2 linked regions of the Notamacropus eugenii genome follow. The protein of the gene in region 2 purifies or fractionates together with the protein of the main gene of each other region. This does not show direct contact. Links are inferred from orthologs where the notes say so. Each region holds a gene or a part of one and is shown on either strand. Other genes may lie near its edges.

Region 1 (7,497 bases), on a different chromosome or scaffold from region 2:
TCTACAACCTCCCCACAGCACTTACCCCACCTGGTGCTGAGCGCATCTCAGATGTTTCTTGGTAGACTTTGGGAGCACCATCACCCAGGTTGGAGTAGGAGATGACAGTGGAGGATGAAAAGGTCTGACAGTTGGCTCCAGTTGTCATGTGCTCCTGAAGAAGAGGGAGGCTGGAGCTGAAGTAGTTGGTGAGGGAGGGGATCCCACCCTCACCAGAGAGTCTCAGCATCTCAGCTTGTTTTTAACTTTGTCTCTATTGTAGTACTGTGAGAATTCACAAGTGACCTTGATGCAATTGAAGGAATTCTGCTCTAAACTGGATGCCTAATGTGAAATGTCTACCTTGAGCAAGCTTTTTGAGCAGGCACCTGATCTCATGTCTTCATGTAAATGCCAACTTCCAACCCAGAATTCAAGGGTCTAACTTTTTAGTGAGTTCTTTTATAGAAAAAGAGGAATCCTCGGGATGAGGCTGTCATTTAAGGTCAAAAGGTTAAAAAGACTAGGGGCAAAAGGCTTACCACATTCCCGATCATATCATTCATCATCCCAAACATGTCCATGAAACCACCTGTCTAGGGAAAGAGAGTTAGAAGAAAAGGCTCAGGACAAATCAATATACTCCAGGTTTCTTCTCCAATCTCAAGACTGGCTTGGGACCTTTATAATGCTATCTCTTTCCTCTCCCCCTCACACCTGGTCATCTGCTCTAAGACCTCTTGGGAGGCAGTGTGGTTTATGGAAAAAGCACTAGATTTGGAGTCAGAGGACGCGAGTTCAAATCTTAGCCTTACAACGAATACCTGTTTGACTTTGGGGTTTTTGTGACTGAGAAAATCTGGGTCCCTTCCAACTCTAAATCCTTTTATCCACACCCTGAATCTCCCTATCCAAACTGGCTAAAACAACACTGACCTCTTCTCCTCCTCCTCTGGCTTCATTCTTCTCCATTTCCTGGCTTCCCTACCTTCCCTTTCCTCTAACAACTCAACCTAGAGTCAGTGGATTTTTAACCTATCAAGAACCAATACTAACTGCTCCCCAACACACACACATAACAACAAAATAGGAACTCATAAAAAAAGGGAAAGAAAAAGAGTTCCCTTTCTAGAGATTCTGGACATGGGGGCACAGTTAACAAATATGTAACACTGTAGGCTTAAAGCTTTGTGAACACTCAATAATATGAAAGGGGGGAGAAGACAAGGAGACACCACTACAATCACTCCTAAAGACTCCTTAAAGGGATAGATCTGAAAACAGTACTGAAAGGGAATAAAGAACAAAGGATAGGAAGATATGGGGGAATGAGGACTTACCATTCCCAGCATCCCAAAGGGTGAGACAGCTCCAGCCTACAGATGCATGGACAAGGAGTAGAATTAGAAAATATACCTCCCCCACTGCGACCTCCTCTCCTTTCCTATAAATCTAGGTTAGGCCCACCTCCCCAAGTTTATTCCCATTCTCTGTTTAAGCATGAGGAATTTGGCGCCCCTGCCCCCATGAGGCAAGGGCAGGGATTTTTCCTCAAGTTCCTTCCCAATCCCAAGGCCTGGCAGAGTCTTAAACATGTTGCCCTGTTACCTGCATCCTTCGACTAGCAGCAGGTCGAGCCCCTGGGATGCTCCCATCTGTGATGCTAAGGAAAGGGCTGTAACCGAAGCCTCCTGACAACATCCGACTCATGTGCTGTCGGTGAATAGCGAAAGGGTCCCTGCGTAAAAGTACAAAAGGCATCATGTCAGGAAGGCCACAAGCCCCATGACTGGGTTCCTTCCTTCTCAAATTAAAACACAAAGAAAGGAAGGCAAAGAGAGAAGGTGTTTGCCTTGCAGTCCAGAGCAAACACTAAAACCCAATGTTCTGACTCCCCAAAAGAGAGTCTCCCAGCTTCTCCCGGGCTGGGGCTTGGAAATGTCCTGGTCTGTGGGTGAGGGGGGGAGACTCACATGAGGAACATAGGATCCTCAGGCTCTCCGTCCCTCATGAACCGGAACATCCTGCTCTCAGCTTCCGGGAGCTCTGAACTAGAGGGGTGAGGAAAGGAGATGGGAAACAGGGGTAAGAGGCCAGCAGGGAAGCAGATTCACCTTACCTTCAGGAGGGGGCCTCCAGTGCAATGGCTCTCACAGTACGGTTGCTCCCCACCCCGCACATAGGAGGAAGGGCTCTCTCCTGAGATGCCCAGCATAATGCAAACACTGGAAAGCCCTCTCAAGATGCCCACCATAATGCAGACTGAAGGGAAGCCTCTTTCCTCCAGATGCCCACATAATCCAATATGGGAGTGCAAGCGGCTCCCCAACTTCCCTTCCTCTCAGTGCTGGACAGTAATATTTTAAAATAAATACCACCATATCTGCTCCTTTTGTCCGGCCCCTCCAGGCCAGCCACTCTTTCCTGCTGTCCGGGCTGGCAGCCCCCTCCTTTTGTCCGTCCCTCCCCCGACATCAGGGCCCTCGCTCCATTAACTGCCCCGGCCACTTGGTTTCCTCTCCACACCCTGCCCTGCCTCCTCCCCACTCCAGGCCCCCACAGCCTTAACCTGGCACCCCGGCGGCCGATGGGTCCGTCCCGGCTCCCGGCCCCTTCCCCACTCGGAGCCCAGGCCAGCCCTGCCCCTCCCCCGCCCGGCCCTCTCCCCTCCCGGCGCTCAGGTCCGGCCTCGCACGCCCAGGGGGGCCCGGCTGCCCCGCGTCCGCCCCCGCCGCGACCCTCACCGGGCCCCGATCCAGGGCGCTGGGGGCCCGAGGCTCAGGCGCCCATCCGGCCGGGCCCGATCCTGTGCGTGGCGCAGGCCCGCGGAGCCGCGGCCCTGGCTGGGTGCTCCGCTGGGCCCGGGGCGCGCTGAGGCGGCTGGGGAGGCCCGACGATCCTTCCTTCCTTCCCTCCTTCCCTCCTTCTCTCCTCCTCCGCCTCCTCCTCCTCCTCCTCGTCCTCCTCCCGCTGCCGCCGCGGTTGCTACTGCTGCCGCCGAGCACAGCCAGGCTCAGCCACTGCCAGGCCCAGGCGGAAGTGACGTCACCGCCCCAGTCCTCTCTCCCCGCCCCCGCCCCTCTGGGCTTTCCCTGACAGCCGACCCGGCCAGGGGAGGTGCCCCGCAGGGGTTGGCCTGTATTTGCTTCCCTTTGGCGGTGCCTCTTCTCCCGCACACTTAGGAAATGACTGGGGTCTCTTGGGGTGATCCCTGGAAGAAGGAGGGAGGTGGGGGCGGGGGGATGATGCCGAGGATGGTAGATTTCCTATGGGGGGAGGAAGAGGAAGACCAAGGGGAGGGGGCAAGTTTTCTAAAAGGGAGGACAGATTTCTGGTAAAAGAGGGGCAGGTATGGGGGGACTATCTAGACGAGAAGGGAGGGGCACGTTTTCTATAGGGCCGAAGTAGGGAGGGCAGGCTTCCTATGAGGAGAGGGGGAGATGCCCCATGTGGAGGGAGGTTTCTTATAGCGGGGCGGGGTAGGATGGAGAGGGAGGGGAGATTTCTAAAAGAGGATGGACGGGTTTCCTATGGAGAGGAGGAGGAGGAGGAGGAGGAGGAGGAGGAGGGGGAGGAGGAGGAGGAGGGGGAGGGGGAGGAGGAGGGGGAGGAGGAGGGGGAGGGGGAGGGGGAGGGGGAGGAGGAGGAGGAGGGGGAGGAGGAGGAGGAGGAGGGGGAGGAGGAGGAGGAGGAGGAGGAGGAGGAGGAGGAGGAGGAGGAGGAGGAGGAGGAGGCAGGAGCGGGTTTGTTGTGAGTGTGGGGGAGGTTTCCTATAGGGGAATCGGAGGAAGAGGGATGGGCAGGTGTCTGAGAGAGGAGGGGGAGCAGGGTCCGGGGGAGCCGGGGGAGAAGGGGCCGGGGCCGGGGCAGCCGGGGCCGGGGCCGGGGCCAGGTCCGCGCAGGCCCAGGCAGAGGCGAGCCGGGCAGTGTAAGGACGGAGACTCGTTTTGCTGCAATGAGTGGGGAGCTCAGCTCGAGGCACTGAACCCTGAGCCCGCCTCAGCCCAGGGACTGGCCACTGGAGGGCTCTGTCCTCTCACTGGACGTCTGCGGGGGTGGGGGGTACCCCAGTGACCCCCTCTGTAAAGGGAGAAGCCTGGGGATCAGAACCCTCCAGATGGGCGCTCTTCTCCTTCCCGGCCCGTGTCCCAGCTCGCAGGCGTTTGCCCCTAAGAGGAGCCAGGACAGAAGGGGTCGTGGCGGACAGTGCAGTAGCCAAAGGGCTCATTCCCAGATTATTTTGGAGGAGGGGAAGCTGGATTTCAGAGCAGAAACGACTTCCGGACCCTCCAACCGCGCCCCCCCCCAACCTGGGCCAGAGCTGAGCTGAGCACGCAGGTGTCCTCAGGTCGACCTTGGATATTCTGGTTCTTGGGTCAGCCTGCCTGTTCCCCTCCGGGGGTTTGCCCAATTTAGATTGAACTTTACACAAAACATATACAAACTCTCACCTCCCTGACTCTTTTTACCTGATCCTTCATCTGGTTGGAACAATCAAACCCTGAGGAAAAGGACAGTTGGCATTATACCCCCTCTTTTTGGGGGGGGGGCGTAGAATGCCGGAGAAAGGAGTATATTACTGAATCGGGGAAAATGCTAGTGAAAACTTCTTTTGGAGATTTCCATTTTAATAGGTGGGAAAAACTGAGAAGGCGGGAAATAATAGCAGAAACAGAAAGCCTCATAGGCAGTAAGAATAAAAGGAAATGAAACTTTATTGATAATAAAAGGGAAAAAACTGCAAAAATCTGTGCTCACCCTGCAGATGCAGCAGTCCACCAGCTCTGTGGTACTCCTGACCTCCAAATTTTCTCTTTCCTGCTCTCTTAACCTTAAATTTCCTCCCTTCCTTCAACAAATGTGAAACAATTTTGGTAGTCAGGGAAGGGGTGAAGATAAAAAGTTTAGATAAGACCTCCAGGAACTTAGAGTCTAGTTGGGCAGTATGTGGTCAATTAATGTGACACAATCAACCTAAAGGCAACGATGTGGTTAAATGTGTAAATGAGATGGTTCATAATTTTGATCTCTTTATGAAGTGTGAACCTCTAGGTTAAGAACTGAAGAGCTATTAGATTGACTAACATGACAGAACAAGAAAATGATAAATGTTGGGGAAGATGTGGGAAAATTAGAATACTAATGAGTTATTTGTGGAGTTGTGAACTGATCAACCATTCTGGAGAGCAATTTGGAACTATGCCCAAAGGGCTATAAAACTGCATGCCCTTTGACCCAGCAATACAACTTCTAGGTCTATATCCCAAAGAGATCATTAACATGGGAAAAGAACCCACATGTACAAAAATATTTATAACAGCTCTTTTTGTGGTAGCCAAGAATTTGAAATTGTGTGGAATCAATTGAGGAATGGCTGAAGAAGTTATAGTATACAAATGTGGTGGAATTCTATTGTTCCATAAGAAATGATGAGCAAATAATAAAAATGACAATTCTACCTAAATTAATTTACTTATTTAGTGCCATACCAATCAAACTATCAGATAATTATTTTGTAGAACTAGAAAAAAATAATATCAAAATTCATCTGGAAGAGCAAAAGGCCCAGAATAGCAAAGGGACTAATGAAAAGAAATGCTTGGGAAGGTGGCCTAGTGCTACCAGATCTCAAATTGTATTATGAAGCAGCAATTATCAAAACCACTTGGTACTGACTAAGAAAAAGAAGGGTAGACCAGTGGAATAGGTTAGATACTCAAGACACAGTAGTCAATGAATATAGCAGTCTACTGTTTGATAAACCCTAGGACCCCAGCTTCTGGGATAAGAACTCACTGTTTGACAAAAATTGCTGGGAAAACAGGATAACAGTGTGGTGGAAACTAGGCATAGACCAATACCTGACAGTGTACACAAGAATAAAGTCCAAATGGGTACATGATCTAAGTATAAAGAATGATACTACAGATTAGTGGAGCAAGGAATAGGGTGTTTATCAGATATATGGAGAAGGGAAGAATTTTTGATTAAACAAGAGGTAGAAAACATTATGAAGTAAAAATGGATAATTTTGATTACATTAAATTGAAAAGTTTTTGCACAAACAAACCCAAAGCAACCAAGATTAGGAGGGAAGAAGAAAACTGGGAAAGAATTTTTTAAACTAGTGTCTGTGATAAAGGCCGCATTTCTAAAATATGTAGAGAACTGAGTTAAATGTACAAGAATACAAGTCATTCCCCAATTGATAAATGGTTAAAGGATATGAACAGGCAGTTTTCAGAGGAAGAAATTAAAGCTATCTATAATCATATGAAAAAATGCTCTAAATCACTATTGATTAGAGAGATGCAAATTAAAACAACTCTGAGATACCATATCACACCTATCAGACTGGCTAACATGACAAAACAGGATGATGATAAATGTTGGAAAAGATGTGGGAGAGTTGGAACACTAATCCATTGTTGGTGGAGCTGTAAGCTGATCCAACCATTCTGGAGAGCAATTTGGAACTATGCTCAAAGGACTACAAAAATGTGCATACCCTTTGACCCAGCAATATTGCTTTTAGGACTGTATCCCCAAGAGATCATAAAAATGGGAAAGGGTCCCACATGTTCAAAAATATTTATAGCAGCACTCTTTGTGGTGGCCAAAACCTAGAAATCAAGGGGATGCCCATCAACTGGGGAATGGCTGAATAAATTGTGGTATATGAATGTAATGGAATACTATTGTGCTGTACAAAATGATGAACAGGAAGACTTCAGAGAGGCCTGGAAAGACTTAAATGAACTGATGCTGAGTGAAAGGAGCAGAACCAGGAGAACTTTGTACACAACAACAGCTACAGTGTATGAGGATTTTTTCTGGTAGACTTAGAACTTCATTGCAATGCAAGGACTTAAAAAATTCTTAATAGTCTCTTAAGACAAAATCTCTTCCACATCCAGAGAAAGAACTATGGAATTCAATTGTAGAATGTAGCAGATCATTTTCTTTTGTATGTTCGGGTTTGTTTTATGATTTCTCCCATTCATTTTAATTCTTCTATGCAACATGACTAAGGTGAAAATGCATTTAATAGGAATGTATGTGTAAATATATAGGAATAAATAAATAGGAATGTATGTATAAAATTGTATGCTGTTTCAGGGAGGGAGGGGGAAGGTAGGGGAAAAGGGGAGGAAGGAGGGGGGAAAATCTAAGTTATATGGAAGTGATTGCAGAACACTGAAAACAAATAAAATAATTTAAAAAAAGAAATGATGAGCAAGTAGACTTCAGAAAAACTGGGTGACTTACATGAACTGATACACAGTGAAGTGAGCAGAACCAGGAGAACATTGTACATAGTAATAGCAACATTGTGAAATCACTAACTTTGATAGACTTAACCTCTTCTTAGCAATGCAAGGATCTAAGACAACTCCAAAAGATTCATGATGGAAAATGCTGTCCACAATCAGAAAAGGAACTATGGAGCCTGAATGCAAATCGAAGCATACTATTTGTTCTCTCTCTTTTTGTTTCTTCTTTCTTGTGGTTCCTCCC
Region 2 (7,220 bases):
AACAAAGGACAAACATACTTGAACTAATTAATTATTCTTGTTAATTAGGTTCTAAGGTCTATAACACTGAAGGCCTGCAAATATTGACAATACCCTCTAAATTTTAATACCAAGAAATGGTGGTCTCAGTCTAGTTACAGCTCAGCATATAATTCTACTGACAGAAAATGAGGAGACCAAGTTAGAAGAACTCTGGTTTTTTATCTTATTTCAAAGGTCAATTATCAGAATCAGGATTGCCCATTTTGTAGAACCTCCAGTAGAAAGCTGTTAACTAAGCCTATATTTATTGTGTTCATTCTCATGAATTTTCAATTCCTCCTGGGTTTTATCCTGAGCAAAGATGGAAGAAAGGTAAAGACCTAGAAATAGTAGTTTCTGCCATTGCCATTAAAATTGAGAATAGAAAATCGGTTCCTCTCCCTTTCTGGCTCATTGGTACTTAGGTTAACAATGCCACAAGCCTCAGTTTCTAGGAGAACATATTCATTAATCCTATACATCTTTTTATAAATGAAGGATTTATCCCTTGCTACATAGTAGGCAGCTCAATGGCACAACGGATGGTGTTGGACTTTGGAGTCAGGAAGGGGATAAACATTTATGTAGCACCTACTGCATGTCAGGCACAGTGCTAAGTACCCCAGCAAGGTAAGCGCTATTAATATTTTCATTTTACAGCATAAAACTGAAGCCACTATAGAGATTTGCCCAGGGCTACAAAAGTGGATAGTGTCAGCACAAATTTGAAGTCAGGTCTTCCTGATTCCAGGCCCAGCATTTCTATCTGCTGTGCGGCTCAGCTGCAAGAAGGAAGACCTAGTTTCAAATCCTGCCTCAGATATTAGTTATATGACCCTGGCCAAGTCAGCCTCACTCTGCCTCAGTTTCCACATCTGTAAAGGGAATAATAATAGCACCTACTTTACAGGATAATTGTGAGAATCAAATAACATAATGTATGCAAAGTGTTTTGCAAACCTTGCACACTGCTATGCAAATGTTACTGTTGCTTTAAAAATAGCTTACATTTTTAGTACTTTAAGATCTGCACAGCATTTTATGTATACTTTATCTTGTTTTATAAATAAAAAGTAAATATATATTAAAGGAATTTTAGTTTAGCTATAACTGCTTATGATTAAAGTTTATGCCATAAAAGCTTAAAAAAAATCACCAAGGACATTATGATAAATATACATTATTTTCTTATAGAAAACACTGTTACTAGCTAACAGTTTAAAATTTTTGTACAAATCTATTCCTAAGTGTTAGAGAAGGCTACAGTCACTAGAAAAGTAAACAGACACACAAACATCAAACCCTTGTGAATAACTCTACAACAGCAGGCCAGAATGGCAGATTATGAATAAAAGGCCCAAATAGTACAAAGTGGTGCTACGCTAGCATGAGAAAAGTAGCATTAATCAGTTTATTCTCTCCACACATTGTTAACTAGTCCCAGTGGAAGCTACTCAACATGCTTTTTTGGATAACCTTCTCTTTGGAGTGAATAAACCTTTAGTGACCAATCTACAGGGTGTTACAAAAATTTAGAGCAGTGCTAAGCTCTTAAAAAGATTACAACTGCCCTAAAACTTTTGGGACACCCTGTATCAGTGACTATGTATAAACTCCACTAAAGAAGAAAGAGCAGCAACCAAGTGAATATAAAAGACATTAAAAGAGCACTTCAAAATCAGATGTTGAAACCTATAATCAGTCAGATGATGTCACAGTAGATTTTGCCATCTGTTTTTTTTTCTAAATACCACATTCAGATGTCCAAAAGGATCATGGGAATGGGACTGTAAAAGTGGCCAAACCACCCTAAAGAATGCTCAAACAATGAAGTTACCCAGATTTTATCTGGCATAAGCATTTCACCAAGACAGTAGCATACAAGATACAGGGTTGGCCTTGGAGCCCGGAAAATCTGGGTTTAAATCCACAGACAAAAACCATTTTATCTCTCAGTGCCCCTCTTGAGTACCTGAGTTGTATGTCTTCATGAGGGAATGGGGCAGCAGGGGTAACATTTCCACACCAAGAGATCCCACTGTTGCAAACCTCAGTTTCGGTTCCTGACCAATCTGATTTCACGAATGTGGCGAAATAGTCTTAGTGAGCTGCATAAAGCAATGAGGCTGGGGGATTTCTGGGAGTCGGTCAGCAAGCTTGGACTTATCAGGCGCTTATTTCGTGCCAGGCACTGTGCTAAGCGCCGAGGATACACAGAATGGCAAAAAGACAAAAATCTACATGGTTCCTGCCCTAAAGGAACACACGTTCTAACGGCGGGGGCAACACGCACCAAGACTGTACGGGTCGCAAGTGCTTCAGGGGCAGGACTCGAACCCAAGTCTTGCTGCCCTGGAAGTCGGCTCTCTATTCACTACGCCACACCGCCCCATTATGGAGATGGACCCCCAAAGGGCAAAACAGTGCCAGAGATGCTCCACTTGGTTCTCCTCCGGCCCCCACCCCGTCTCTCTCTCCTTCCCCAAAGTGTGCCCTCTCTCTAAAGGTGCCAGCGTCCCCCAAACCGCCCCCTGCCACGGGGGCAGGCTGGCTCCAGCTCCGGCCCGGGGGGCTCCGGGGCGGCCAGCGGGCAGCGCGGGCACGGGACGGGAGCCGTGGGCACGCGGGCCCCCCCGGCCGGCTCACCTGAGCTCCAGCTGGTCCAGGCTCTCGAGCAGGCGGCTGGAGCGGTCGGCCATGGAGGAGGAGCGGCAGAACCTGCCCTCGTTGGCTTTCGCGTTGATCTTCGCCTGAGCCATGGGGCAGCTCGGCAGCGGTGGCTGCAGGAAGGAGGAGGAAGGGATTACGCGACTGCGGTGGTGCCACCTCCCTGCTGTCCTCCTCCCTCCCTCCTGCCCCCCCGGGCAGCCGCGCGCTAGTGGCAGCTCCGGACACCTCCTCCCTCTGACGCCTACAATGAGAGGCCGCGGGCAACATGGCCAAAGAAGGACACGGAGCCCGGCCGGCCGGTGCCCCCCGCCCCCTCCGCCACTCACCTCCATACCCCAGCCGGCCCCGCGGGGTTCTGCGTGGGGGAGGAGGCAGCGTGCCTGCCCCTGGGAAGGGCACGGGTGGGAGGCCCAGGGGCCAGCCAAGGAGGTGGGAGGACGTGACAGCTGCCAAGCTGGGATGGTCTCCTTCCAGTGGGCATGGCAGTGGGCTGAATTCAGGGGGCTGTTCTCCTCGCGTGAAAACTCCATGGAAATCACCTTCGGGGCTGTCTGGGGTTCAAGGGGAAATGTAACAGGGCTGTTGGAAAGACCAAAGATTTAAATAAGCCACTCAGAGCTGTGGCATGAACTTAAGCACCTCGGACAGTCAGTTCCCCATGCTTCCAGAGTCTTCACGAAACTAACTCCCCAAAGGGAGGAGATCTGAGACCCATCGGAAGTTTAAAGAGTTAAATAATCGTATAGGACCCTTAAGTGCTCCTAAATCAATAACAAGGAAAAGATAATTTCATCTTATATTATCTGACTTAAGGCTGGGAAAAAGGCGTGAAGCGATGGCAGTAAAAGGCTAGAAATATTTCCAAAACAATACTGTATTGTCTATTTTCGTTAGCTGCCCCATCCCCTTCTCTCCACTCCCCTCTCCCCAATACTCGGAACCTCCACTTCTCACCTGTGCTTCCCGGCTTCCTTTAGAACTCAGCTCCCATCCCGCCTACCCCAGAAGGCCTTTCTCAGGCTCCACTGTCCATCTGGAATGAAAAAAGTTGTATGTGGTCACCCCGGCTAGAATGTGAGCTCCTTGCTAGCAGAGGGCGTGTTGGTGGTTTTCTTTGCATCCCCAACGTTTAGCACAGTGACCAGAACAAGTTGTTCAGTCATGTCTGACTCTTTGTGAACCCATTTGGGGTTTTCTAGCAAAGATACTTGAGTGGTTTGCCATGTCCTTCTCCAGTTCATTTTATTTTATTTTTTTATTAATTAATTTGTTCTCAGTTTTCTACAATCCCTTCCATATATATCTTAGCTTTTTCCCCCTCCCTTTTCCACCTTCCCCCTCCTTTCTCTCTCCAGGAGACAATCTTATATAGGTTCTACACATACATTCTTATTAAATACATTTTCACCTTAGTCATGTTGCATGGAAGAATTAAAATGAATTCTTCAGCTCATTTTAAAGATAAGAAACCGAGGCAAAAAGGATCAAGTGACTTACGTAGGGTCATGCAACTAGTTAGTGTCGGAGGCCTTATTGGAACTCAGAAACGGGAGTCTACCTGACTCCTCTATGTCACAAACTCTCTCCGATGAGCCACCTAACTGCCCTGACTAGAATGGTGTAAAGCCCTTAATAAAGGCTACTGACTTGATTACAACTTACCTGCCACTGGAATTTTTCTGTTCTCTAATTCCCAGAGGTGAACACTGGTGCCAGAATATCAGGCCTGGGGCCCTGAGAAGGGTGGGAGTGAAAAGAGGGGGGAAATATGAAAAACTCTCTAAGGTTCCCTTAATCCACTGGTTTTGTAAACTTCAGTATTGAGGATCTGCTTCAGTTCCATTCATTCTCACTGAAGTAATTTTAATTACTAATTCTTCCTAATAAGAAAAATAATACAAATAAGTGTTGTAGCTAACATAGTTTAATGGAGATGCCTTAGGACTTGTCTCGAATATCCAACAATGTGTCATGTTATCTCAACAAAATTCAGATAGCCTATGGACTAGCCATAGAAGTTTCTCTGCTTAATGAAACAAAAGCTTCGCATATTGGCCCTTTCCTTTTTTTCATTATTTATTATGAACTTAACCTCAAATATCAACAGAATCAATTAAAACGTAGTTTTATGACCATTAATGCCAAAAAAAAAAAAATACCGTTCAACAAACAAAATGTCCACACCAGTTTCTCCCTGTGGCCCACCTGGTTTTGTTAAGAATACATGTATGCCCTTTGGAGGCAGTTTGGTGATACAGTGGATAGAGCTCTGGCCTGGAGTCAGAACAGATCTGAATGGAAATCCAACTTCAGATAATTACTAACTATATGACCTTGAGCAAGTCACTTAATCACTGTTTGCCTCAGTTTTCTCTACTGTAAAATGGGGATAATAATAGTACCTGCTTTGAAGGATTGTTGTGAAGATCAAATGAGATATTTGTTAAAGTACTTAGCACGATACTTGAGACACTATAGGCACCATGTAAATGCCAATTCCTTTTCCTTCTTATTGTCCCTTTTATCTATTCTTTATTATTTCTCTTTATACATTTTTTGGTTATATATAATCTAAGTATATACTGTTCTTAACTTACACATTATTTCATCTTTCTATATTTGTATTCTTCAGACTTACTCATTTTAATTGCATGATGCATTATATTACATTGACATAGCAATCTATTAAATCATTTCCCCTTTGACATTTAGATTTTTGTCAATTTTCACAATTATAAATAATGCTGCAATAGATGTATTTGAACTAACAGCTCACTTTTCTTTTTGATAATATTCTGTTTTCCCAATAAAGAGAATATTAAATCAGAATGTGATTTTTTTAATAACTCCCATGGCATAATGCTGGATTACTTCTCAAGAGGCTGAAGTATCAACATTTGAAATTCCATCAGTAACGTATGAATATACTTCTCTACACAGTTGAACCAGTCTTGTATTGTTACTTTGTCAGTTTGAGATTGGGATGGTACCTCAAAATTGTTGGAGTGTATTTTTTTATTAGTGAGATTAAACATTAAGTGATTACTTACCATTTGTATTTCCTCTTAAAAATCATCTTATTCCCATTGATTATTCACTAGATATTGAATTTTAACAGTTTTATAAATTTATAAAATTTAGGTATTGTTTTTAATCTGTTATGTTGACCATGATCCTTTTCCTCAATCTATTATTTTTTTATTCTTATATTTTAATATACATTTTACTTATGCCTTTTGTCATTACATTAGCCATTTCTCATACTCCTTCTATATTGAACCTTCCCTTGTACAAAAGAAAAATAATCAAAAACCTCTTGTAGAGACCTCTTTCTGGCATCGCATATCCTATTCTTTCCTAGTGGTCCCCTATTTCTCTACAGTGAGGACGTATAATTCATTATATCTTCTCTGGTACCTTCAGTGGCTTTTCTCTTGCTCAAAGTTCAGCTTCTTTTTAATTATTGGTTGATTTGCATTTTTGTAGGTTCTGCATATTTTGTTCTGTTTCAGTTCTTACAAGTTTTCCCATTTTTCTCTGAATTCTTCAGTCATCATTTCTTACTGTACAATAATTTTCCATTGTACTCATATGACTTAGAATTGTTGTTATCTTAGCTACTTAACAGTCTAAGAAGACCCATTTTGTTTCTAGTTCTTGGCTACCAAAGAATTTTGCTATGAATATTTTGTTACATATTGAAATTTCATTTCTGCCTTTCGATTCTGTGAGAGTATATTCCCAAAAGTGTGATTGTTGGGCCAAAGAGTGTGAAAGGTTTAGTTGTTTTGCTGTAAAAAAAAAAAACTTTATTGATAACTTTTCTTTTTGTATCACCTTCATCTCCTAATATCCCTCCCTTTTTTTCACCCAGAGAACCATTCTTTTTAACAAAGAATAAAAAAAAGTTCAACATAATTAACCAATAGATCACTTTAGTCCAACTGTATGTGATACTCCATAACCTTAACCTTCAATTTTTGTAAAGAAGGGTGTGTGTACGTGTGTGTGCATTTTCATATCTCTTCTTTTGTACCATTTGATCATTATAATCACATAACATTCAGTTTTAATTTTTTCTTGTTGTGTTCTGTTTACTTTGTTGTAGTCATATGTAGTTAGCAGCTATCTATTCCAGTCCAACTAGGAATGCCCTGGTAAATATTTAACAACTGGCTACCGGAAGAAAAAATATATGGAGATCACATTTTAAAGTTTAATCTGCATTATTAACAATTTCTCCATCACTTTCATAAATCTTGACAATCAACAAAATAATAAATCAAGCTCTGATTTGAAGAATTTGCAGATTTCTGAGGTGAAAACGCTCCCACTAAAAATTTAACAATTGGCTTTGAAGAGCCAACTGGATCCAGCACATGCTTGAATCCAACTCATATTCAAAAGGAATCTCCACTAAAATATACCTGACAAGTGATCATCCACCCTCTAATTGAAGACCTCCAAGGAGGGGGAACTGTCCACCTCTTGAGGCAGAGCAGATAAGCTCTGCTGTTAGGAACTTTTTT

What was found.
Region 1: the proteins of BAG2 (region 2) and MLF2 purify together in Homo sapiens (affinity purification with mass spectrometry; 4 studies listed by BioGRID and IntAct, with this or other methods). This does not show direct contact. The link is inferred for Notamacropus eugenii from reciprocal best matches to the Homo sapiens genes BAG2 and MLF2.

The regions. Positions count from the first base shown.
Region 1 is NC_092874.1:195,042,164-195,049,660, forward strand, and holds the start of MLF2 (myeloid leukemia factor 2), read right to left. Parts: upstream 3,035-7,497; 5' UTR 2,724-3,034; intron 2,031-2,723; 5' UTR 2,003-2,030; coding exon 1,953-2,002; intron 1,718-1,952; coding exon 1,588-1,717; intron 1,356-1,587; coding exon 1,320-1,355; intron 576-1,319; coding exon 522-575; intron 155-521; coding exon 26-154; intron 1-25.
Region 2 is NC_092873.1:125,380,940-125,388,159, reverse strand, and holds the start of BAG2 (BAG family molecular chaperone regulator 2), read right to left. Parts: upstream 3,266-7,220; 5' UTR 3,222-3,265; coding exon 3,018-3,221; intron 2,802-3,017; coding exon 2,668-2,801; intron 1-2,667. UniProt on the Homo sapiens protein: Co-chaperone for HSP70 and HSC70 chaperone proteins. Acts as a nucleotide-exchange factor (NEF) promoting the release of ADP from the HSP70 and HSC70 proteins thereby triggering client/substrate protein release.